Linked DNA regions of Macaca mulatta. The main gene of each other region encodes a partner of the protein of the gene in region 2 in a complex. Links are inferred from orthologs where the notes say so. Each region holds a gene or a part of one and is shown on either strand. Other genes may lie near its edges. The genes, in order: SMARCC2, SMARCA2 and DPF1.

Region 1 (7,263 bases), on a different chromosome or scaffold from region 2:
CGGCTCTTGTGAAAGGCAAGAAATGTGGGAACCTGCCTGGCCTTACCAATCCGCTCAGGCTCATCAGAGGTGGTTCCTGCAATGCCACTGCTTTCCAGACCGAAGGCAGGGTCCGCCTTGCCTGTTACTTTGGCTGCTTCTTCCACTTTCCGAACATGGGCCTCCACCAAGGCCGTGGGTACCTCTTCCTTCATTTTGGAGAACTCCTCTGTAAGACCCAGAAAGGATGAGGCTGGGAGTGGCGCAGGGGGACAGTTCTGGCAATCCCTGCAAAAGCTTACTCACAAGCCCATGTCTTTATCTAAGCCAGTATGGAGCCTAGACAGATGCCCGAGCTGAGGCCTGCACAGACAAGGACAGCAGGGCAGCCAAACTTGAGAGGATTCACAGTCTGAGTAACTAGCCCTTCAAAAGCAAACTAAGAAGGCCAGGTGGAACCGCCCACCCCCATTACCTAGGGCTGACTTTGCAGCAGCAGAGGCGACTCGGGGATCGACGACAGAGGCCAAGAAGGCAACAGTGCTCATAACAGGGTTGCCCGACTGACTGAAGGGGATGGGTTGGTAGGCCAGGGGGCCTAGGGAGGCCTCTGAGTCCTCCAGGTATGGGTCTTCAATGGGAAGACGAAGAAAATGCAAGATGCACTCGTCCTGTGTGCGGCTTCCCACATGCTCGGACACTTTGTTCCAGTCATCTTTGTACATTTCCAGTGCCTGGTGGTAGTGGTGGAGACATAACTCCGCTTACTTAGCCACTTTTCTCGAAGGCCGACTCCCCCCATCCTACTAAGGGCAGCTGGTTTCAAAGCTCTCTATGTTCTGGTATTTGTGTACTCTGCTAGGTCCAAGAGGGATCTTGAAGTAGCACTAAGAAAGGATATGAAGTTAATGAAATGGCCCAAATCCCCAGCCTGGAGCTGGTCCCTGGGGCAGGTGCAACAGGCATTGGGAACGGGAGAGACAGGGCAAGATCATGCTCTGCTCATGCCAAACTCCACGATCTCTCCTCACTCACAAGTGTGGCCAGCAACTTCAACATGTCTGTTTTCTTTTTTTGTTTGTTTGTTTTTTGAAACAGGGTCTTGTCTCACTCTGTCACCCATGCTGGAGTGCAGTGGTATGATCACAGCTCACTGGAGCCTTGACCTCCTGGGCAAGCCTCCCACTTAGCCTCCTGAGTAGCTGGGACCACAGGTGTGTGCCACCACACCTGGCTAATTTTTTAAATTTTTCATAAAGGCAGAGTCTCACTATGTTGTCCAGGCTCGTCTCGAACTCCTGGGCTCAAGCGATCCTCCTGCCTTGGCCTCTCAAAGTGCTGGGATTACAGGTGTGAGCCTCTACACGGAGCCCACTTCTGTTTCCAGAGAAAAACTCTTTTCTTTGCCCCAATTACCTCCAGGAGAAGCAGGGTTTCCTGTTCTGTCCACTCACGAGTGGCACTGGCTGCAGCTTTGCTCTGCAGGGGAAACACAGGCAGGTCAGAAGAGAGGAGCCTGTGACCTCTGAGGAGTGAACATTCTCTACCCCTAAAGTCGGCCCCCACCTCCTACCTTGGAGGGAACATTCTTTTTTGTGTACATGTCTGTGCGCAGCCCAAAGTTTTGCATGTCTGTTGGTTTCTCTTTGCCTTTGTCAGGAAAGTTGAGCATTTGTTGGGAAGCAGAGGTCTGCTATTTGTGGAGGGAAAGAAAGAGGTGAGTACAAGTGACCACTGGGAGCCAGGGGCTGACAGAGAGAAAAAACAGACAGAAGGAGCTTCTTTCCCAAAGCCAGGGACACCCCTGGGTGGGACTTCCTCCCTTACTGCTGTAGTTCCTCTGCTCTCATGTCTCTTCTTCCCGGGCAGGGGCCCCCCAATAAAGGGGCAAATGAGCAGCCCAGCAGGGTCTGCACCCCACCTACCAGCTCTGGCTTGCCCTTAGCCGTCTCTGGCACCAGGTCATCCAGCTCTTTGCCCTTTCGCCCAGCCTTGGTATCAGCATCAACCTGGCGGCCCTGGGGGACAGAGCTTGGCGTCATGGAGGCTGGGCAGGAAATGACCAGGTCAAGGCCCTGGAGGCCTCAAGACCAAATGCTGGGCGGCCCGCAAGCTCTGGGGGCACTCATGCCACTGTTCCATGTTCCCTTCATGATTAGTAAGACATGTCATTGGCATGATATCCATATATATTCACATTATCTTTACAGGTTCTCTTAGGAGCTGGACAATTACGTTCTAATCCTAGATTTGGTACTCTGTGACCTTGGGCAAGCCACATAACCTTCTTCCTAAATTTTGTAATGGATGAAGTGGAAATGAAAAAAAAAAAAAAAAGAAGGTGATAATTATGAGGCAAAAATGAAAAAATGTGGCAAAGATGACAAAGTTTAAAAATTTCATGCAAGTTAATTTTAAGCCATTTTTCTCTATCTATTGAATCCCCTACATTAGCCTGTCTGCTCCTTGAGTAAAAGGATAATCTCTTCTCCCTCAGCAATTACAGCCTTAGGTACAAAGGCTGAGAGAGGATGCTAAACACATGGGGCTGATTCCTGTGGCCCTTTGCATCCCATGGAAAAGCAAGAAGCCTCAAAACACTCCTGAACCATTAGCCTAAAAACCAGAAAAAGAAAAGTTCAAAGAAGCCCAATCTTCCCAACCCCGCCCCATCCCCATAGTACCTCACCCTACCTGAGGGGTCTTGGGCTGCAGAGGCACCAGCCCTGATGGTGTGTCAGCCAAGACATGGAAGTGAGAGGTAGGCGGAGGCCCCATTGGGGTTGGTCGACTCTCAGCATCCACCTGGTAGTTAATAAGACCCCACTGTTCTAGGAAGGCATGGACCCTGTGCGGAGAGAGGCAGAGACAGTGTCACACGGATAGCCAGAAAGGTGCACGAGGAAGAGGAAAACTGGGGGTAGAAGTTGGGGCATAAACCCCCTCCCCACCCAACCCCAGCCTTTTCCTCTGTTCATTGTACTCCTTAGGAAATTTTACCTACTCCAGTTGTTCATTTACCACCTAAATGCCAGTGACACCCAAGTCTACATCTCCAGCCTGGGCCAATCTCTATATCCACCTACCTACTGAACATTTCTTCCTGAATAGCTAGTAAAACTGAACCAGTTTCTTTCTTTTCTTTTCTTTCTTTGCCCTTCCTCCCTCCCCACTCCCTCCCTCTCCCTCTCTTTCTTTTTTTCTATCCCTGAGAGAGGCTGAAGTGCAGTGGTGTGATCACCGCTCACTGCAGCCTCCACTCCAGGGCTCAGTGATCCTCCCATCTCAGCCTCCTGAGTCACTAAGACCATAGACACGTGCGACCACGCCTAGCTAATTTTTTTGCATTTTCTGTAGAGATGGGGTTTCGCCATTTTGCCCAGGCTGGTCTCGAACTTCTGGCCTCCAGCGATCCTCCCACCTTGGTCTCCCAAAATGTTTAGATTATAGGCACGAGCCACTACACCTGGCCTGAACCAGTAGCTTTCAATTACACACGTGCTCCTTTGTCCTATATTCTACACTTCAGAGAATGCCACTGCTAATCCCCCAAGTCATTCATTCCCAAACCTGTACTTCACCTTTCTCTAGAGGTGTTTTTTTCTGCCTGCTCCTCTATGTTCCTTGCTGGCATCTCTACTGTTGTCAAAACACATCCATAGGCAGGCATCTTCATGTACCCCCTTCCCCTCAGCCACAAGACCCACCTCATGATGGCACAGACATCACCCGCTAGGTTTCGGCGACAGGCGGTAGAGGTAAGATACTCTTGGGGGTTCAGTCGGTAAGTGTCAATCATAAAGTTTCGATAGGCCAGGTAGCTTAGAAGAGAGAGAGAAACAAGAAAAAAAATTAATGTTTGTTAAAGGGCTAAAGGAAAAAATGGTAAGAGAGCTAACGACTTCTCCTGCATGATAAAGGTGGAAAAAAGTAGATTATTTGACTCAATACGCTGAGTGCCTGCTATGTGCTAGATGAAAGGGTTTCAAATAGGTCTTAGTTTTCCTTGATGGTGTTTTCTTTAAATGAATTATCTCCTTGGCTATACTTATGGATATTTCATACAATTTTTTTTTTTTTGAGATGGAGTTTCACTCTTGTTGCCCAGGCTGGAGTGCAATGGCGTGATCTTGGCTCACAGTCACTTCCGCCTCCTGGGTTCAAGCAATTCTCCTGCCTCAGCCTCCTCAGTAGCTGAGATGACAGGCATGTGCCACTACGGTGGGATAATTTTGTATTTTTAGTAGAGACAGGTTTTCTCCATGTTGGTCAGGCTGGTCTTGAACTCCTGACCTCAGGTGATCCTCCTGCCTCGGCCTCCCAAAGTGCTGGGATTACAGGCATAAGCCACTGCGCCTGGCCATTTTATACAATTTTTAAACAAGGAATTAGAAGTTAAGAAAAAGTACTCATTTCCAAACTCAGATGTTAATAAGGAAGTCCTTATTCATGCACACAGCTAGTTAGCATAATATGGTAAAAAACATATGTTTTGAAGAAAAGACCTAATCCCAGTTCTACCATGAGGACCTTGGCAATTTACTTCGATTTTTTTAAACCTCAGTTTCCTCATCTGTAAAATGGAACATCCGTTGAGAATGAAAGGTCTATAGAGTACTAGTACAGTGCCTGGGGCACTGTAGGGGCTCAAAAAAAATGGCGGCTATTACGTGGTACAGTGTAAACTTTCAGATCATGGGCCAGATTAAAGGATTCAGATCCTGGTTTTACTTACTAGCTCTGTGACTTTATGCAGGTGACCTGACTCCTCTGTACCCTATCTGTCAACTGAAGATGATATCAACCTTCGTTGACATAAAGATTAAATTACTCAATGTATGTTGGACATTTAGGATAGTGCCTGGGAGATACTAAGCTCCCAGATGTAGGCAATTATCATCATTTACTATTTTTTTTTTCTGAGATGGAGTTTCACTCTTGTTGCCCAGGCTGGAGTGCAATGACGTGATCTCGGCTCACTGCAACTTCCACCTACTGGGCTCAAGTGATTCTCCTGCCTCAGCCTCCCAAGTAGCTGGGATTACAGGTGCGTGCCACCACACCCAGCTAATTTTTGTATTTTTAGTAGAGATGGGGTTTTACCATGTTGGCCAGGCTGGTCTCGAACTCCTGACCTCATGATCTGCCCCGCCTCGGCCTCCCAAAGTGCTGGAATTACAGGCGTGAACCACCACACCGAGCCCATCATTTACTATTTTATACCAAGAGTTCAGTTCCTACTCCAACCCTGCCTGCATGTCATGTTGAATTCATTTCATCTGATCACTACTTTCTTTTCACACATACTGCTTTCTCCAGGAAGAGAAGAAGAAAGAACCACAGCAAGCTATGAGGAAAAAACATGGAGGGACCACCAGAGAAGGCAAGCTGTGGAATACCTAGGAAGAAAACTTGTTCAGTTCTCAGTCTCACCCACCTCATCAATGTGGTTATCTTCAAGTATTCCTAACCAAAGAAGATTGCCACGTCTTATCCAAAGCCAAGCAGGTTTGGCCTGAGGCAAAATCTTTTTTTTTTTTTTGAGACGGAGTCTCGCTCTGTTGCCCAGGCTGAAGTGCAGTGGCAGAATCTCAGCTCACTGCAAGCTCTGCCTCCCGGGTTCACGCCATTCTCCTGCCTCAGCCTCCCAAGTAGCTGGAACTACAGGTGCCCGCCACCATGCCCAGCTAATTTTTTTTGTATTTTTAGTAGAGACAGGGTTTCACTGTGTTAGCCAGGATGGTCTCCCATCTCCTGACCTCATGATCAGCCTGCCTCGGCCTCCCAAAGTGCTGGGATTACAGGTGTGAGCCACCACGCTCAGCCGGCCTGAGGCAAAATCTTGAAGGAGATGAAGACTTTCGAGCCCCAAACCCATACTTTTATTTATTTGTTCATTAACTTTTTTTTTTTTTCTGAGACAGAGTCTTGCTCTATCGCCCAGGCTGGAGTGCAGTGGTGTGATCTTGGCTCACTGCAACCTCTGCCTCCCAGGTTCAAGCGATTCTCCTGCCTCAGCCTCCAGACTAGCTGGGACTACAGATGCGTGCCACCATGCCCGGCTATTTTTTTTTTTTTCCAGACAGAGTTTCACTCTTGTTGGCCAGGCTGGAGTGCAGTGGCATGATCTCGGCTCACCACAACTTCCGCCTCCCATGTTCAAGCGATTCTCCTGCCTCAGCCTCTGTAGTAGTTGGGATTACAGGCATGTGCCACCATGCCAGGCTAGTTTTGTATTTTTAGTAGAGATGGGGTTTCTCCAGGTTGGTCAGGCTGGTCTCGAACTCCCCACCTCAGGTGATCTGCCCACCTGCGCCTCCCAAAGTGCTGGGATTGCAGGCATGAGCCACTGCGCCTGGTCTTTTTTGGTATTTTTAATAGAGACGGGGTTTCACCACGTTAGCCAGGATGGTCTTGATCTCCTGACCTTGTGATCCACCCGCCTCGGCCTCCCAAAGTGTTAGGATTATAGGCATGAGCCACAGTGCCCAGCCTTGTTCATTCATTTTTTTAGATATGGGGTCTTGCTGTGTCAGTCAGGCTGGAGTGCAGTGGCGTGATCATGGCTCAGTGTAGCCTCAAACTCCTAGGCTCAAGCAACCCTCCCATTTCAGCTTCTCAAGTAGCTGGGACCACAGGTATGCCCCACCATGCCCAGCTAATTTTTTTTTTCACTTCTTTAGAGACGGGAGTCCTGCAATGTTGCTCACACTATTCTTGAACTCCTGGCCTCAAGGAATCCTTCTGTCTCAGTGTCCCAAGTAGCTGGGATGATTTACAGTCGTGAGCCACTGTGGCTCCTACACTTCTTTCCCAGAGAGCCCTCTCCATCCCTTAATTTATATAAACTGGTCTTCTATTAGTTCCTTCTCTTGTTTTTCTATGAAAACCTACTCTCAGGAACCAGCCTGGTAATAGTAATTTACACTTTAATCAAAGCTATTACTTGTGCTAGGAATATCTGCAGTTTAGACAATATCAGTAATATGGATTTAAAGGCTCTATACCCTGTTAAAAAGAATTTGAGGCATTGAAGTAAGTACTTGTTATATACAGAACATGCTTAATAGCACCCTTAGGCAAATCCTAAAGAACATGTGTCTACATGCTAGGCCAGGGCTGCCTAAAGGCAGATATTGTGTCTTTGTAAGCCTAGCACAGTGCCTGGCTCATGGAAGGAGCTCAAGAAATGTTTGCTAAACTGAATGTTACTGGATCAGGAAGGGTGAATGGGGGGACAGGAGGGAGAAAGAGAATCATGAGCTGAGATTTCCTTACATCTCT
Region 2 (7,263 bases):
ACAATCATGCAAAAAATAAAACATCTCAGAATTGGCTCTTCTAAAGAAAAAACTCCAATCAAAATACCTCATGCAACAAATAGTATACAATGCTAAACTATCTTTAAGAGAATGAAACTTAGAATTCAAATATGCATGGTTCCAAAATACGATCAGAAACATAGTAAACTAATACTCAAATCCAACCCCAAAACATAGAGCGAAGGGCTCAGAAGCTGTTCTAAAGCACCACAAACTAAGTTTCCAAAAGTTAGTCTGAAAAATACTGGCTTAACGTGGTCACAGGAACTTAATTTTTATGGCACGGAACAAAAATAATGTCCCCAAATAATTAGATGGTGTGTCTGTAATTTGCAGAAACTCTTGTTTTTTCACTTACTGTCAGAATGGTGACATCACAAACATCAAATACTAAATACATTTCTAGAAAACCTGCTAATGTTCCCCATCCCCTTCAATGATGACACAAGTCCCCAAAGTCAAATATTCCATTCACTTATAAGCAGAACAATTCTACAGTGCCTGCAACAGTGAACTCAATGAGGCCACTTAAAAAAAAAAATTCTAAAATTAAAATGTAAATGAGACTCAATGAATTTGATAATTTTATAAAATCCGCTCGAACGCTTTTGGAAAACAGGCTGCAAATGCTATAATTTCCCTTCTCTCTCTAGCCCTATCAAACAAAAAAGCACTTTAAGATATTTTCAAGATACTTATAACTACAATATGAGTCTGCTGTTTCAGAAACACAATCTCAGAGGCAGGTACTTCAAATATATTTGCTGGAGGAAAAAAAACCCCACAACTTTTGACTGTGCGACATACTTTTTCTGGAAGCTGGGATTCAACTTCTTTCTTCAGTCTCCTTAGTAAAAATGGTCTTAACACCTTATGTAGACGTCTGATGATCAATATAGTTTCTTCTTCATTTAAATCCACCTGTAAGAGAGGCTTATATGAATTTGATGTTTTAAAGAAAAGGATGTTTCATACAATAAAGCTTTATGTTATACTTATATGGTTCAATACATGATTAACATTTTACATGCATTAAAGCCAGGTTTAAGCCTATCATATCTACCTCTGAATTATCTTCCCACCTGCCTACCAAGCGGTAACAAAATGACCTCTAAATAGATCTTTGTCTTAATGCTGAGTTCTATGGAAAAGAGTCCAGAAGCCACCAGTTTTTATCAGTAGTGTCAACAGCCCCAAATTGTATGGAATATGACTGTCAATGAAGACGGACTGAAGATTGAGATAGAACGGGAGAAGAGGGGCAATAGTTAATATGTTCCCTATTTAAAGTGGCAGCCTTAAGTTAGGCCCTTCGTCTTGGTTGTCTCAGACACAGAAACATACTAAAGGAACAGGGGCTTGCACATATAAAGAAGAGGAACAAGAGTCGATCTAGTTTATGCTGGTGGACCTCTAAGTCCCTCTAACTTCACTCCTTTCCTTTTCTCAGCCCTATCTAGTTCAAATTTAGCCAAACTTACAAATTTCCCGGCTTTCTCTTTCACCTTCTCCTATTAACCTCTAGGGGGCAGAGTTGATTGACACTACTTTCTACAAATGGGCAAGCCAGTGAGTTAACCACTGAGGAGGGGCCCATGTGCCTCAAAATCAAAGGACCAAATAATTCAAACTGAAATTTTACTAAAGCATTTTTAGTGGCTTTTCATTCCTATGAATGAGGAACCACTATGAAAATGACGTGCCCATTTCTTTTCTTGCAACGGCCCATTGTCTTCCTTTCATAAATGAGGTCTTAAGAGAAGACAGTGGAAGGAACAGTAAGAAACTGGAAAATAAATGGCTACTCCAGGAAGACAATTTACGTACACACAAAACTGAAACTCACATTAAAACCTAAAAAGAAAAAAAAAAAAAGTGTGCAGAAAATTAGTGAAAACTAGTTCTGTTTTACACACAAACTCTTCATGTGGAAATATTTCAAAGGGAACTCCAAGTTTATAACAAGGAAAGATTTGTTTAAAGCTTGTATTTAGTTGTTAATTTGATCTGGTTAAATTAATTCAGCAAAACATCTCCATGTTCATCCTCCCTGTGGCCCACTGGTTCCACCAGTAGGGACCCTTTTCTGGTAGCCTGGTAAACATGCTGGCAAAAGACAAAGGGATTAGATGCCCCGTATACCACTAGATCCATTTTCCTAGGAGGGGAAAATAACCCCACCACGAGACCATGTCCACCCACCAATGGGTTTCATAAAATAAACAACATTGTAAACCACCCTGCGGGTGTTCTGTGGCAGTAATGTTCCCAGCTTTAGGGCCTTTCATTTCATGTCATTGTCATGCAGTAGAAAAAACAAAAGTCAGACCAGTACCCTTTCACCAGTCATGGCAAATGGAGCATTGAACCATTGTTCAAATGTGCTGCAGCTCTTAAAAATTGTGGGGAGGAGGAAGTTGAGGAGGGCCCAGAGTTCAGGGAGCTTATTCTGCAGCGGGGTCCCAGTCAAGAGGATCCTTCTGGGAGCCACATAGTGAGTGTTCAAGACCTGAGTCAGCTTGCAGTGGTGATTCTTCATTCGGTGGCCTTCATCCACTATCATGTATTTCCACCGAATCTATAACATAAGAGGAAGGATGGACATGTAGTAAGCAAGGGAAAATACAACTATTTCCAACAAGCAAGTAGTGGTGCGGGAAACCAAAGAACCCATCCTTGGTATATGATATGCCGTGATTACCTTTGAGACAAGAGAATCTCAACAATGTCTCATGCCTGATAGGCCACATAAGACATCCTGTAATAATAGAATGTTAAAGCAACAATGTTCCTTACAGACCTCGTAATTCCAAATCAACTTTTTACAAAGAAAGAAAGTTAGGTCCAGAATGACATGGTTGTTCCTACATGTGGATCCTGTATCTCCCCATCCAGTGCCCCTTCTAGTAATACTGTATCATGACAGCTATCCCAGATTTCATTGTCATGCTATTTCGGCTCATGACAGGTGCAGAATATAGGTACCCACCTGAAGCAGAGGTTAATGACTGATTTTTCCAAGATGGCCCTAGCAGGTTCTACAGCTGAGATATTCCTGGCTCCATACCTTCTTTTCTATTAGCCTGGCTGGTTACTACCTTTAGGGCTTGGCTGGGAAGTGTGTTTTGTTTTGTTTGGACTGGTTGCTAACATTTAAAAGTTGGACCATTTCACATTAAATTTGTACATACAGCTCTTCAAAAATTAGGTCTGACAACCAAGCTCCCTCAATACACGCACATTCCTTACCTGCCAGATCTAGGACCCCTGTTTTATCTAAAATAAAAGTATATACTCACTGGCAGAAAGGGCAGTGCAAAAATATCATTCCTCTATTTATGCCAAAACTGCAGAATTAAATACAGCATAATTCCCCAACATGACTATTGCGTAAAACGTCCAGAATGCTTAAATGGCCCAGTCCTCTATCCTGTCTACACAGTCCCTTTCCTCTCTCATGCCTTGCCCTTCGGTCCTCTTAAGAGCACTGTTCAGTTTCTTAAAGTGAGAACAATGAGGAATGTTCCACTAAGCCTATCCATTCTCTACAAAACAGTGGCTATGGCCAAGAAAAACATCTGGTGCTCAGATGTCCCCAGATCCTGCTGCAAAGCTCCTAGAGACAGAAGGGAGATGAGGGAAGTATTCTATACAGTCCTTGCCTTCCTCATTAGAAGCATCAGACATGCCGGGAGAAAAGGAATAAAATTATCAGTCAGGCTGGGATGTATAGGTAAACAAACAAACAAACAAAAAACCTACCTCAATTTTTCTTCCTTCCTCCACCACCTCTAAGGAAAGTGCTTAAAGGATAATTAAAACTGTACAATCAACTGCCTCAAACTTACCAATAGCATGAAAAGAGGTAAGCAGACAAAAATATATTTAAATAAATATCCTAAATCTACTTTCTTGCCTAATTTAGCTTATGAAGTAATAAAGAATCAGAGGCCTTTGATTTTGCTATTGGGTCTACTACTAATTAGGTCTTCCACTTGGACAAAATTACTACCCCTTTCTATAGCTCCATTTCTCCAGTAACAAATAAAAGCAATGCATCTCATTACCAGGCATCTCCAATGAATCTTGAAATACATATGCAGATGACACAATATGAATTTTTTTAAAAGGATCTCAAATGTACAAATACATTCCCATAGTAATATTGAAAACACATCATTTTTGACACTGCCAAATTCATCTCTGAGTGTGAGGAGGTGGAACACAACATTGTTGCCAGTGCCATCTCAATTATTAAACCTCCCCTGGGAACACATTTCCTTTTTGTTATTTCCTATGATGCCATGAAGGGAACTCTCAGTTCCCAGAGCAAGAGTTTAATGCAGAGATAGAATAGACCCCAGAAATAGAGGTTCTATTCAATTTTGGACATAACTTAGTTTCAGATTATAGTGCTTTCAAAACATCATGGGGTAAAAAAAAAATTACTAAAGAGAAAAAAAAATGAGTTTTCATTATTTGTTCCATGAGAGAGAGTACTTCCATCTTTCTACATGAATGTACTAGAAGACAAGATGATAAAAATGGGGGTAAAAACTTCTACTTTGTGGCTGAGGAACAACTTAGGACACACAAATTAGGAGACACGTAAGTCACAGAAACACCTCTTTCTCAGTTTCAAATAAATAGTCACAGAAACAGCCTTGAGTAATCCAACAATGATAGTCTATTATTTCACCAGGAAAAACCTGAAACAAGACTACCACAAAAGCCAATGCTTGGATAAATGTTCATATGGCGGAGACCATATGCAGAGGTGTCTGGCTCATCTTTGGAGAAACAAAGGCACAAGAGGAATGAAGTTACACTGACAATATCTCAGGGCAACAAAAACAATTATTTCTCTCCCGAGAATGTTCAAAGCTGTTGGAGAGAAAAGAGTTGCAGAAGCAACCAGGTGAATTTTTCTAAGAGATGTAAACTCATCAACTCTGAGAGGACAGTCAAGAGCCATTCCAGGATCAACCATACACACACACACACACACACACACACACACACACACACACAAATAGCATGCATGAAATCAAATCCATGACCTAAATACATCAAACTCTGACAAAATTTTTAAAAAATAAAGAAAGGGACAAGCCATCTAAGGATCTAATTATACTATTGATTTGGGCAATACTTCACGTTCCAGTGCGATGGTCCATAATTAGAGAGAAAATAATTTTTTAGAAACATACCTTTGCAAGAATGTGCTTGTCTTTTATAATATACTCATAAGTAGTCAAGAGGACATTGAATTTGCCACTCCGTAGCTGGGGGACAAGGGAGCGACGCATGGCAGGAGTACCCTGAATGGAAAGAAAACAGTATATGCATGATCCTATGGACATATATGTGTGTTATTTCTCACTATTCATAGCTTAATGATGCCCAGACATGTGACTGAAGAATGCACAGACACACATTCTCATAGACTGATCTATTATACACAAGGAAGTTTTGGCTAAATTACACGTCTTGACCCTTTTCAGATCTTTTTTAGAAAGGTTTTCCCACCAAAGACAGTGGGAGGGCAAAGAGAAATGACAGTGACTTTGTGGTAGTAGAGAACCCACTGCTCTGCTGAAAGGCTCCAGTTCTTTTGAGAAAGTACAGCAGGCAGCCCGGGCACCCGGGTAACTGCCTGACTTTGCAGGAACAGTCGGCACAGTAGCAGCCCACAGTGAGCCAGTCAGCAGCATGCAGAATGTGTGATATTTGTCATTTGTATTACTCTCATCAGAAACCTTGCAATATGATAATTAACAATTTTCTTCTGGATTTCACTATCTGAAAGTAATTATGGTTTATTACAGTCATCTTCTTGGGATGATTAACTCTCACGGTTTAGTACATGATGTACATGACAAAACTTTACAACCAAATACAGTTCACAGATGTGCATATGGAATGAAGAAAATACGGTCTATTTTTTGCTCTTCCACATTTATATATAAATACAGCATTCCAAACCTTGTAAGAAATTTTCACCACAGAAGGAGCCCATTTGTCAAATTCATATGTCCAGTTAGATAGAGTCCTATGGAACAACAAAAAAAAATACACAGAAAAAAGACATTTGTATAAAAATCAATGGTTAAAAAGATGTTCTTATTCATTTTCAGGCCTCACCTTGAAAGGGGCTACAGAATATAACATATCTCAACAACATATTTTAAAGGTGTGGAAATAAGAGATAAGTTCAAAATAAACTGTCACAAAACATGACAAGTTTGTGGTTCATAAAAAAAATCTTGTAAGAAAAAAACCAGAGAATATATAGAGAGCAAAAAACTAAACTGTAATATGATATTTAAAAAGAGCAATTGCCAGAATAATTTTAGGAGTCTTCATAAACAGTCATATAAGTTCAGAAAAAAGTTGAGTCAGGAAAAAGAAATTACAAAACCACATGAAAACATAAAATAAATCTGTCAAGAGGGAACGGGGAAGAAATATTGAATGACTTTTTTTTTAAAGTCCTGAAAGTGTCACTGTATATATGATTCAGAACGTGCAAAATATAGATTAAATGCAAAAGATGCCTAAATATTATAGATACAGATAATTCATACAAAAAGGACTGCAAATAGTCTTCATTAGAAAAAATTCAAAGAAAACACAATAATATTAATAGAATCCTTCTTCTTACTGAAGGTCCAAGTTCCTATCAGCATTGAGATCTATAACAAGAGCTCGGTGAATAAAGCTGCAACCTAACACCCACAGGCAGACACACTGAACTCCCAGGGAGGGTGCGTGTGAATCATTATGCCCTCACTCAGTAGTGTCCACTTAGGACCTTCTAAGAAATACCCAGTGGGTGAGGCACTGGGAACATAATGGTGAACAGCAAAGGCCTGTCCTTACTAAGCAGCAAACTCATTGAAACATAACCTCAGTGCACATACTAAGGTTATTTTAATGCAAAATTCATAGTTGTGCTTTTGATTTATATTCCGCTTTAAAAGGAAGATTTAAGAATATATAATCTTTTGGAAATGGAATAAGGAAAAAATCAAAGAAACCTCACACACACCCCCCCCCACACACACACAAACTTTCCCCTTTGTGAGCCACTTAAGGAATAATGATGAGCAAGACTCCCTATGCAGTGTTCAGGCTGTATAGACCTGTAATGCTAATGGCTGATAAAATCACTTGGTCCCCTGCTTAAAAGGCCAATCAAACAGGCTAGGATGGGGAGGGGTGGGAAACTAAAACCTAAAT
Region 3 (8,061 bases), on a different chromosome or scaffold from region 2:
CGCTCCGTCACCCAGGTTGGAGTGCAGTGGCACAATCTCAGCTCACTGCGACTCCCAGGCTCAAGTGATCCTCCCATCAGCCTCCTGGGTAACTAGGACTACAGGCAGAGTGGTTGGCCCGCCACCACACCGGCTAATTTTTGTATTTTTGGTAGAGACGGGGTTTCACCATGTTAGTCAGGCTGGTCTCAAACTCCTGAGTTCAAGTGATCCTCTGCCTCAGCCTCCCAAAGTGCTGGAATTACAGGCACAAGCCACCATGCCTGGCCAAGCCACACTCTCAGATACAGCCTAGAGACTCAGAGAGGTATAGCCAGATCCTTGGAGACAGCCAGACACATGAAGGAGACATAGCCGGACCCATGGGTACTCTCAGAGATGCGCAGAGACAATCAGCTGGTCAGGTGCGGTGCCTCACACCTGTAATCCCAGCACTTTAGGAGGCCGAGGTGGGTGGATCACTTCAGGTCAGGAGTTCGAGACCAGCCTGGCCAACATGGTAAAACCTCATCTCTACTTAAAAACAAAATACAAAAATTGACTGGATGTAATTGCTCACGCCTGTAATCCCAGCTACTCAGGAGGCTGAGAAAGAGAATCACCTGAACTCGGGAGACAGAGGTTGCAGTGAGCTGAGATCGTGCCACTGCACTCCAAACTGGATGGAAGAAAAGAAAGAGAAAGAAACAAGGAAAAGAAAGAAAGAAAAGGAAGGGAGGGAGGGAGGGAGGGAAGAAGGAAGGAAGGAAGGAAGGAAGGAAGGAAGGAAGGAAGGAAGGAAGGAAGGAAGGAAGGAAGGAAGGAAGGAAGGAAGGAAGGAAGGGAAAGAAAGAAAAAAGAAAAGAAAGAAAGAAAGAAAGAGAAGAGAGAGGGAGGGAGGGAGAGAAAGAGAGAGGGAGAGAAAAAGAAAGAAAGAAAAAGAAAGAAAGAAAGAAAGAAAGAAAGAAAGAAAGAAAGAAAGAAAGAAAGAAAGAGAAAGAAAGAAAGAAAAAGAAAGAAAGAAAGAAAGAAAGAAAGAAAGAAAGAAAGAAAGAAAGAAAGAAAGAAAGAAAGAAAGAAAGAAAGAAAGAAGAAAGAATTAGCCCTCCAGATACCTAGGCCCCCCTGGGGAAGACAGCCAGATGAGATGCCTAGACACATAGTGGGGAGATACCAACATACCCAGGGAGAATTGCTCAGCTAGATACACACACACACACATAGGAGACACAGACAGACAGAGACACAGCCAGGTGGTCACTGCCACACTCCTGGGTACACACAGACCTTCGGACTCAGGAAGAGAAACTGACCCCAATGACCCTGATACTCCTAAACACATTCAAGGTTAAGTCCAGATCCTCTGATGGACTGACACACACGTGCAGAAATACACCTGATACACCAGACACCATCAGGAAGAGATTCTCCCAGACACTCCGAGGCACCTACACACCCACAGAAAGAGACGGCCGCACCGCGTAACACACCCAGACACACTGGGAAGGAGCTGGACGCCCTGACAAACCAGACATACACAAGACACAAGCCTTCTAAGACACTTGGAGACACCCGGGAAGATACACCTAAGAGAGGAAAGAGCTCCAACCAGACACTGAGACATCCAGACGCCCTTGGGGAGATACAGAGGCGGACACCCTCAGGCACCCACAGAAGAAAATACAGGCAGATGGCCGGGCACGGTGGCTCAAGCCTATAATCCCAGCACTCTGGGAGGCCGAGTCGGGTGGATCACCTGAGGTCAGGAGTTCGAGACCAGCCTGGCCAACACGGTGAAACCCCGTCTCTACTAAAAATACACAAAAATTAGCCGGGCGTGTCGATGTGCGCTAGGTGGGAGGTTGAGACAGGAGAATCACTTGAACCCACTAGGCGGAGGTTGCAGTGAGTTGAGATCGTGCCACTGTACTTCCAGCCTGGGCAACAGAGCCGGACTCCATCTCCAAAAAAAAAAAAAAAAAATACAGGCAGATACTGATCCATCCCAACTCCCAGGGGAAGGGATGCAGACAGAAACTCCATATACCCACACACACCTAACAGGTATCACTATGCCCTCCAATACCACTGGACCCCTTGGCGGGGTGTAGTGGCTCACGCCTGTAATCGCCACACTTTGGAGGGCTGAGAAGGGAGGATCCTTTGAGCTCAGGAGTTCGAGACCAGCCTAGGCAACATAATAACACCCTGCCTCTATTTTAAAAACAACAGGCCGGGTACAGTGGCTCACGCCTGTAATGCCAGCACTTCGGGAGGCCGAGGTGGCCAGATCACCTAAGGTCAGAAGTTCCAAACCAGCCTGACCAACACGGTGAAACCCCATTTCTACTAAAAATACAAAATTAGCTGGGCGTGGCGGCGCATGCCTGTAATCCCAGCTACTCAGAAGGCTGAGGCAGGAGAATCGCTTGAACCCGCTAGGCAGAGGTTGCGGGTTCAAGGTTCAACTCCCCACTAGGTGGAGGTTGCGAGATCGCGCCATTGCACTCCAGCCTGGGTGAAACTCTGTCTCAAAAATAAATAAATAAATACATAACAACAACTGGGCACCTGGGCCCATGTAGGAGGAGATGCAGTCGCCACTCAGTGACTCAGAGAAACTGTGGAATCTCTGGGAAACACCCGAGATGCACATGGGCAGACACACAGCCAGCCAGGCAGACACTTGCTAGAAGGCGGATAAAGGTGACCGACGGGCTTGGACACACAGCAGGCCGTGGGACACCATTGGAGGCCCCAGCGGCTGCACCCACCGATCTTGTACTCGCAGGGCCTGAGTCTGGGGTCCTCCAGGATGTTGAGTCTCCGTTTCTTCCTCCAACAGCGGGCGGGGTACGTGTAAATCTGTCCCGGGGCCAAACCTGGCGAGAACGGAAGGTGAGAGGGCGGCCGAGGTGGGGTGGCCCGGCCCCGCCCCGCCTCGCGCCAGCCCTCCCAGCGGTACCCGGCCCGCGGTGGGTCTTCTCCATCCAGATGTAGCAGTTGTTCTGGGCCACGCCGGTCTGCGAGTCGAGGAAGGGCAGTCGCAGGCTGCGCTCCGCACACAGGCGCGCGTTGTAGCTGCGGCAGTGCTCGATGGCCTCGCGGTAGAAGTCCTCGCCTAGGCTAGAGGGGCAGCGAACGGGCGGGCGGCTGTCAGCAAGGGCAGGCGCACTGGGTCGCCCAGCACCCCTCCCCCGGCTGCCGGCCCGCCCAGGCTCGGGAGGGGTGGGCAGACCCCTCCAGCTTCACCTCTCTCCTCCTCCCACTCCGGGACCCAGGCTGGGGGAAGGGTACAGGGCCCAGGGGCCCCCAAACTGGGACTCAAACACGCCTCCAGCTCATGAGTAGAAACACCATACAGAAACAAACAAAAACACACCGGGATGTATCCCTACATGAACACATGCAGACACACAACACAAATCACACACAGTCACACGGGATTCACACACACAAAGAGAGACAAATCCCAGTACTCACAAAGGAGAAACAGACAAACCTCACACACGTGCACACATAAATATCTACTGAAAAAGACAAATATCCCAAGTTCCATAGTGTGGAGACGAATCACACAAATAACCATGCACAAAGACACATCACATATCCACAGACACACACCAGAAACACATCACTCACACAAAGACACACAACATGGAAACATAACACCACACACACATACACACCTCATGCAGCCAAAGACATACAGACACACACATGTCAAAGGACAGGAACTACAGAAACCACTTACCCCCCTGTGCACTTACCCACGTATCCAAAGACACAACACAAACCACACACACAATATCCAGACACACAACACAAAGAAATCACATAGATTCACACAGGTACACACATTTACAAAGATGTGCAATGTGGAACCAGTATCTAAAATATAATACATCCACACAGACACACACACATATAAAACACAGAAACAGCCAAATCCACCCACAGTCACACAAAAATTTACACACAAATACACACAGTCCTACATACCCAAAAACACAGAACACAAGACAAATGACAGATAGTTCCAAAGGACACAGACACACACTGGGAGACCCAAATATCCAAAGATATCTAGTGCAGAATAAAAAGAAACGGACACACGTCCACACACCTATCCCCCAAAAATTCTTTAAAAAACCAGAACACAAATAAGTGGTACATACACACACTCCACATCCCAAGACAAAGGTAGTGTGGACTTCACTCCAGTTTGCCAAGGCTCCCGCACCCCCGGGTCATTTCACCCTCTCCCAGACCCGAGGGTCGCAGGGAGGGGACGATGTCCCCCTTCCCCAAAAAGAATCTGGAGGTCCCCCACGCCCTCCACCCCTCCAGGGAGCGGCGCATCCGACATCATTCTTGTCAGAGACCCACAGTCACACACTCTCGCACCCCCACGCAGCCCCGCACTCGGTGACAGCCCCCCAGACACCCCCTCGGCCCCACCCCCGGCCGCCACACACACCCAGGCCCGCGTAGACCCGCCCGCGCTCCCTCCCCGCCTCCTGCCAGCCCGCACCACCTCAGGGGGCCAGGGATGACAGTGGCCATCTTGCTCCCCGGGTCCTGCCCCCAGCAGGTCCCCGCCGGGTCGGTCCTCCCAGCGGTCGGGCGGGCGCTGAGGCCGCCCATCCATTCATTCCCGGGGGGCGGGAGCACGAGGGCCACGGCCAATAGCGGCGACGGGGCGGGCCCGCCCGGGCCATGCCGGGAGTGGTAGTCCCAGGCCAGGGGGCCCCCGGGACCCCGCGGGGACGGGGACGGCGCGGAGGAGGGGCCCGGGGCACGCACCGTCACTCACCCGCCCTCACTCGTCCACATAGCCTGCTCTCGCGTGCACACAACCACATGCACACCTGGACTCGCACACGCCCACGCATGGCAGTTTACACACACATTCACGCGGAGACTCACAGCCGCCCACACACTCCTACTCACACACCTTCGCACGGACTCACAGCCACATGCACACACACTGCAATACTAAGAGACGCAGAGACACCTCCCAGGTGCCCACACAGACTTCTCACCAACATGCTTCCAGCAGACACCTCCCATCCCCCCCACCCGAGTCTCTCCTGGCTCCAGAGTCCCCATCCGGGGCTGTCTCTCCCAGCAGCCACGCTCACGGTCACCCCGCCCTGCTCAACGCCTTCTGCAGGCCTGACAGCAGCAGTGCAGGTTAGAAACAGTAGTCTCACCTCCAGGGTTTAAATCTTAGCTCTGTCACTTGGTGGCCATGTGACCTTGGCAAATGACTTAACCTTTCTGGGCCTCAGTTTCCTCATCTGTAAAAAGAGGATGATGCCTCACTGGAGTGTTGTGAGGATTAAATGAGGAAGTATAGGCAAAGCATTTTAAAAGGTAACTGGCAGGCCAGGTGCAGTGGCTCACACCTGTAATCCCGGCACTTTGGGAGGCCCAGGCAGGTGGATCACCTGAGGTCAGGAGTAGGAGACCAGCCTGGCCAACAGTCTCTACTAAAAATACAAAAATTAGCCGGATGTGGTGGTGCATGCCTGTACTCCCAGCTATTTGGGAGGCTGAGGCAGGAGAATCACTTGAGCCCAGGAGGCGGAGGTTGCAGTGAGTTGACATCGCGCCTGGGCGACAGAGCAAGAAACTGCCTTAAACAAAAAAACAAAAAAAGGTACCTGGCAGGTAGTATTTGCTCAAGAAATCCATTTATTCCACAAAGGAGCTGATACGTACTTTACTAAGATGTCAATGGTAATACCTAAATGCTATCAGAAAGAATAATGCGGGCCAGGAACAGTGGCTCACGCTTGTAATCCCAGCACTTTGAGAGGCTGAGGCGGGCAGATCACCTTAGGTTGGGAGTTTGAGACCTGCCTGACCAACAAGGAGAAACCCCATCTCTACTAAAAATACAAAATTAGCCAGGCGTAGTGGCACATGCCTATAATCCCAGCCACTTGGGAAGCTGAGGCAGGAAAATCACTTGAACCCAGGAGGCGGAGGTTGCAGTGAGCCAAGATCATGCCTTTGCACTCCAGCCTGGGCAACAAGAGCAAGACTCCATCTCAAAAATAAATAAATAAATAAATAACAAATAAGAAAGAAAGAATAATGCTGGCCAGGTGCAATGGTTCCAGTCTGCGATCCCAGTACTTTGGGAGGCCTAGATGAGAGGACTACTTGAGCCCAGGAGTTTGAGACCAACCTGGGCAACATATCCAGACTCCTGTCTCTACAAAAAAAAAAAAATTTAAATTAGCTGGGCATGATGGCGCATCAGTGTAGTACCAGCTACTTGCGAGGCTAAAGTGGGAGGATAGCTTGAACCTGGGAGGCTGAGGCTGCAGTGAGCTGTGGTCTCACCACTGCACTCCAGTCTGGATGGCAGAGCAAGACTCTGTCTCTAAAAGCAAACAAACAAACAAAAAAAATAAGTAAGCAGGGCGAGGTGACTCATGCCTGTAATCCCAGCAATTTGGGAGGCTGAGATGAGAGGACCACTTGAGCTCAGGAGACCAGCCTGGGCAACATAGCGAGACCTGGTCTCTACCAAAAAGAAAATAAATAGCTGGGCATGGTGGCACATGCCTATGGTCCCAGCTACTCAGGAGGCTGAGTCAGGAGGATTGGTTGAGCCCAGGAGATCAAAGCTGTAATGAGCTATGATCACACCACTACACTCCAGCCTGGACAACTGAGCAAGACCCTATCTCCAAAAAAAAAAAAAAAATAGATGCTCAGTAGATATTTGTTGAATGAGTAAATGCACCCATCATGTGCTGGGCATAGTTCACCCCGTGTTGCTATTATTATCTGCATTTTCCAGGTGAGGAATCTGAGGCACAGGAAGGTGACCTCACATACCTGCATCCCCTGGCGGCTCTTTGAAAGTGAGACTGAAGGAAGGAGGCAGACACCCTGACGCCCCTCCCCAAGTGGCCCTGACCTCCTTCTCTCTTCCACTGTCACACACACTGACTCCACCGGAAGAGATCCCCAGGGAGTGAGCGGACCCACTGAGTCACACACTGACCCAGTCTCTCCACAACACCACCACCCCGTCCCTCTTCCCGTCTCACCCCTCCTTCCCCTTTCCCCTTCCTCTCTTCCGCCCCGACCCCTGTAGAGCCAGCATTCAGGTTTGGGCGGCTGCTGTAATTAACACGCCCACAAACGCCCTCATCCACCAGGGGGCGCCCCAGCCGACAATAGTGGCCCGCTAGCCTTCACCATTTTTGTCACTTGAAATCCCCCCATGAGAAACATCCAGTCAAGGCCTCCTACACTCACGGTCACTTCTACACACACACACACACACACACACACACACACACACACACACACACCCCTCTAGTCTTAGACCCTTTCCACCAACTTGCCCATCTAAGCCAGGTAAGGCCTTGGCCCGCCCCTCTCCTGAAACAGGAGGAAGTGGGTCTCTGATTCACATATGGCCTGGAGTGTGACAAAGGGATTAAGTGGGGGAAAGTGGCACCCCTACGATCACTCTGGCCTCCAGGGGCCTATAGTGGCCACCCCACGCCTTGCCCACGGTGAGCTGTGACCCCACCTTCCTCTCTCACCTCCCATTCGCTCACAGGTCCCCTAGCACACCCTCTTACACTTGATTCCCACACCTCTAGCCTCAGGCACTCACCCCTGCCCCACCCCAAACTCTCATGTCAATTTGATTAAGAGAAGCCCGAGTGTAGACACTCTGAGTGTAGACCTTTCTAACAGTCCTCCTCTACAAGCAGAATTTCTATTTGTCTTTTCTTTTCTTCCTTTCTTTCTTTCTCTTTTTCCTTCTCTCTTTCTTTCTTTCTTCCTTTCTTTCTTTCTTTCTCCTTCTTTCTTTCCTCTTTCTTTTTCTCTCTCTCTTTTTTTTTGGACAGGGTCTCACTCAATGACCCAGGCTGGAGTGCATGAACACAGCTCACTGCAGCCTCCACCTCCCAGGCTCAAGCGATCCTCCCACCTCAAACCCCCAAGTAGCTGGGACTACAGGTGTGCACCACCACACCCGGCTAATTTTTGTATTTTTGTAAAAACAGGGTGTCCCTATGTTGGCCAGGCTAGTCTCAAACT

What was found.
Region 1: SMARCA2 (region 2) and SMARCC2 share a complex: the UniProt entries of both Homo sapiens proteins name them as parts of the BAF complex. The link is inferred for Macaca mulatta from reciprocal best matches to the Homo sapiens genes SMARCA2 and SMARCC2.
Region 3: SMARCA2 (region 2) and DPF1 share a complex: the UniProt entries of both Homo sapiens proteins name them as parts of the neuron-specific chromatin remodeling complex. The link is inferred for Macaca mulatta from reciprocal best matches to the Homo sapiens genes SMARCA2 and DPF1.

Annotation. Positions count from the first base shown.
Region 1 is NC_133416.1:63,323,801-63,331,063, forward strand, and holds part of SMARCC2 (SWI/SNF complex subunit SMARCC2), read right to left. Parts: coding exon 7,258-7,263; intron 3,801-7,257; coding exon 3,687-3,800; intron 2,828-3,686; coding exon 2,674-2,827; intron 1,998-2,673; coding exon 1,905-1,997; intron 1,673-1,904; coding exon 1,553-1,672; intron 1,459-1,552; coding exon 1,396-1,458; intron 714-1,395; coding exon 455-713; intron 209-454; coding exon 47-208; intron 1-46. UniProt on the Homo sapiens protein: Involved in transcriptional activation and repression of select genes by chromatin remodeling (alteration of DNA-nucleosome topology).
Region 2 is NC_133420.1:97,379,552-97,386,814, forward strand, and holds part of SMARCA2 (SWI/SNF-related matrix-associated actin-dependent regulator of chromatin subfamily A member 2), read right to left. Parts: intron 6,074-7,263; coding exon 6,007-6,073; intron 5,343-6,006; coding exon 5,232-5,342; intron 2,600-5,231; coding exon 2,357-2,599; intron 943-2,356; coding exon 829-942; intron 1-828. UniProt on the Homo sapiens protein: ATPase involved in transcriptional activation and repression of select genes by chromatin remodeling (alteration of DNA-nucleosome topology).
Region 3 is NC_133424.1:49,294,919-49,302,979, forward strand, and holds the start of DPF1 (zinc finger protein neuro-d4), read right to left. Parts: upstream 4,980-8,061; 5' UTR 4,627-4,979; coding exon 4,514-4,626; intron 3,106-4,513; coding exon 2,945-3,105; intron 2,862-2,944; coding exon 2,754-2,861; intron 1-2,753. UniProt on the Homo sapiens protein: May have an important role in developing neurons by participating in regulation of cell survival, possibly as a neurospecific transcription factor. Belongs to the neuron-specific chromatin remodeling complex (nBAF complex).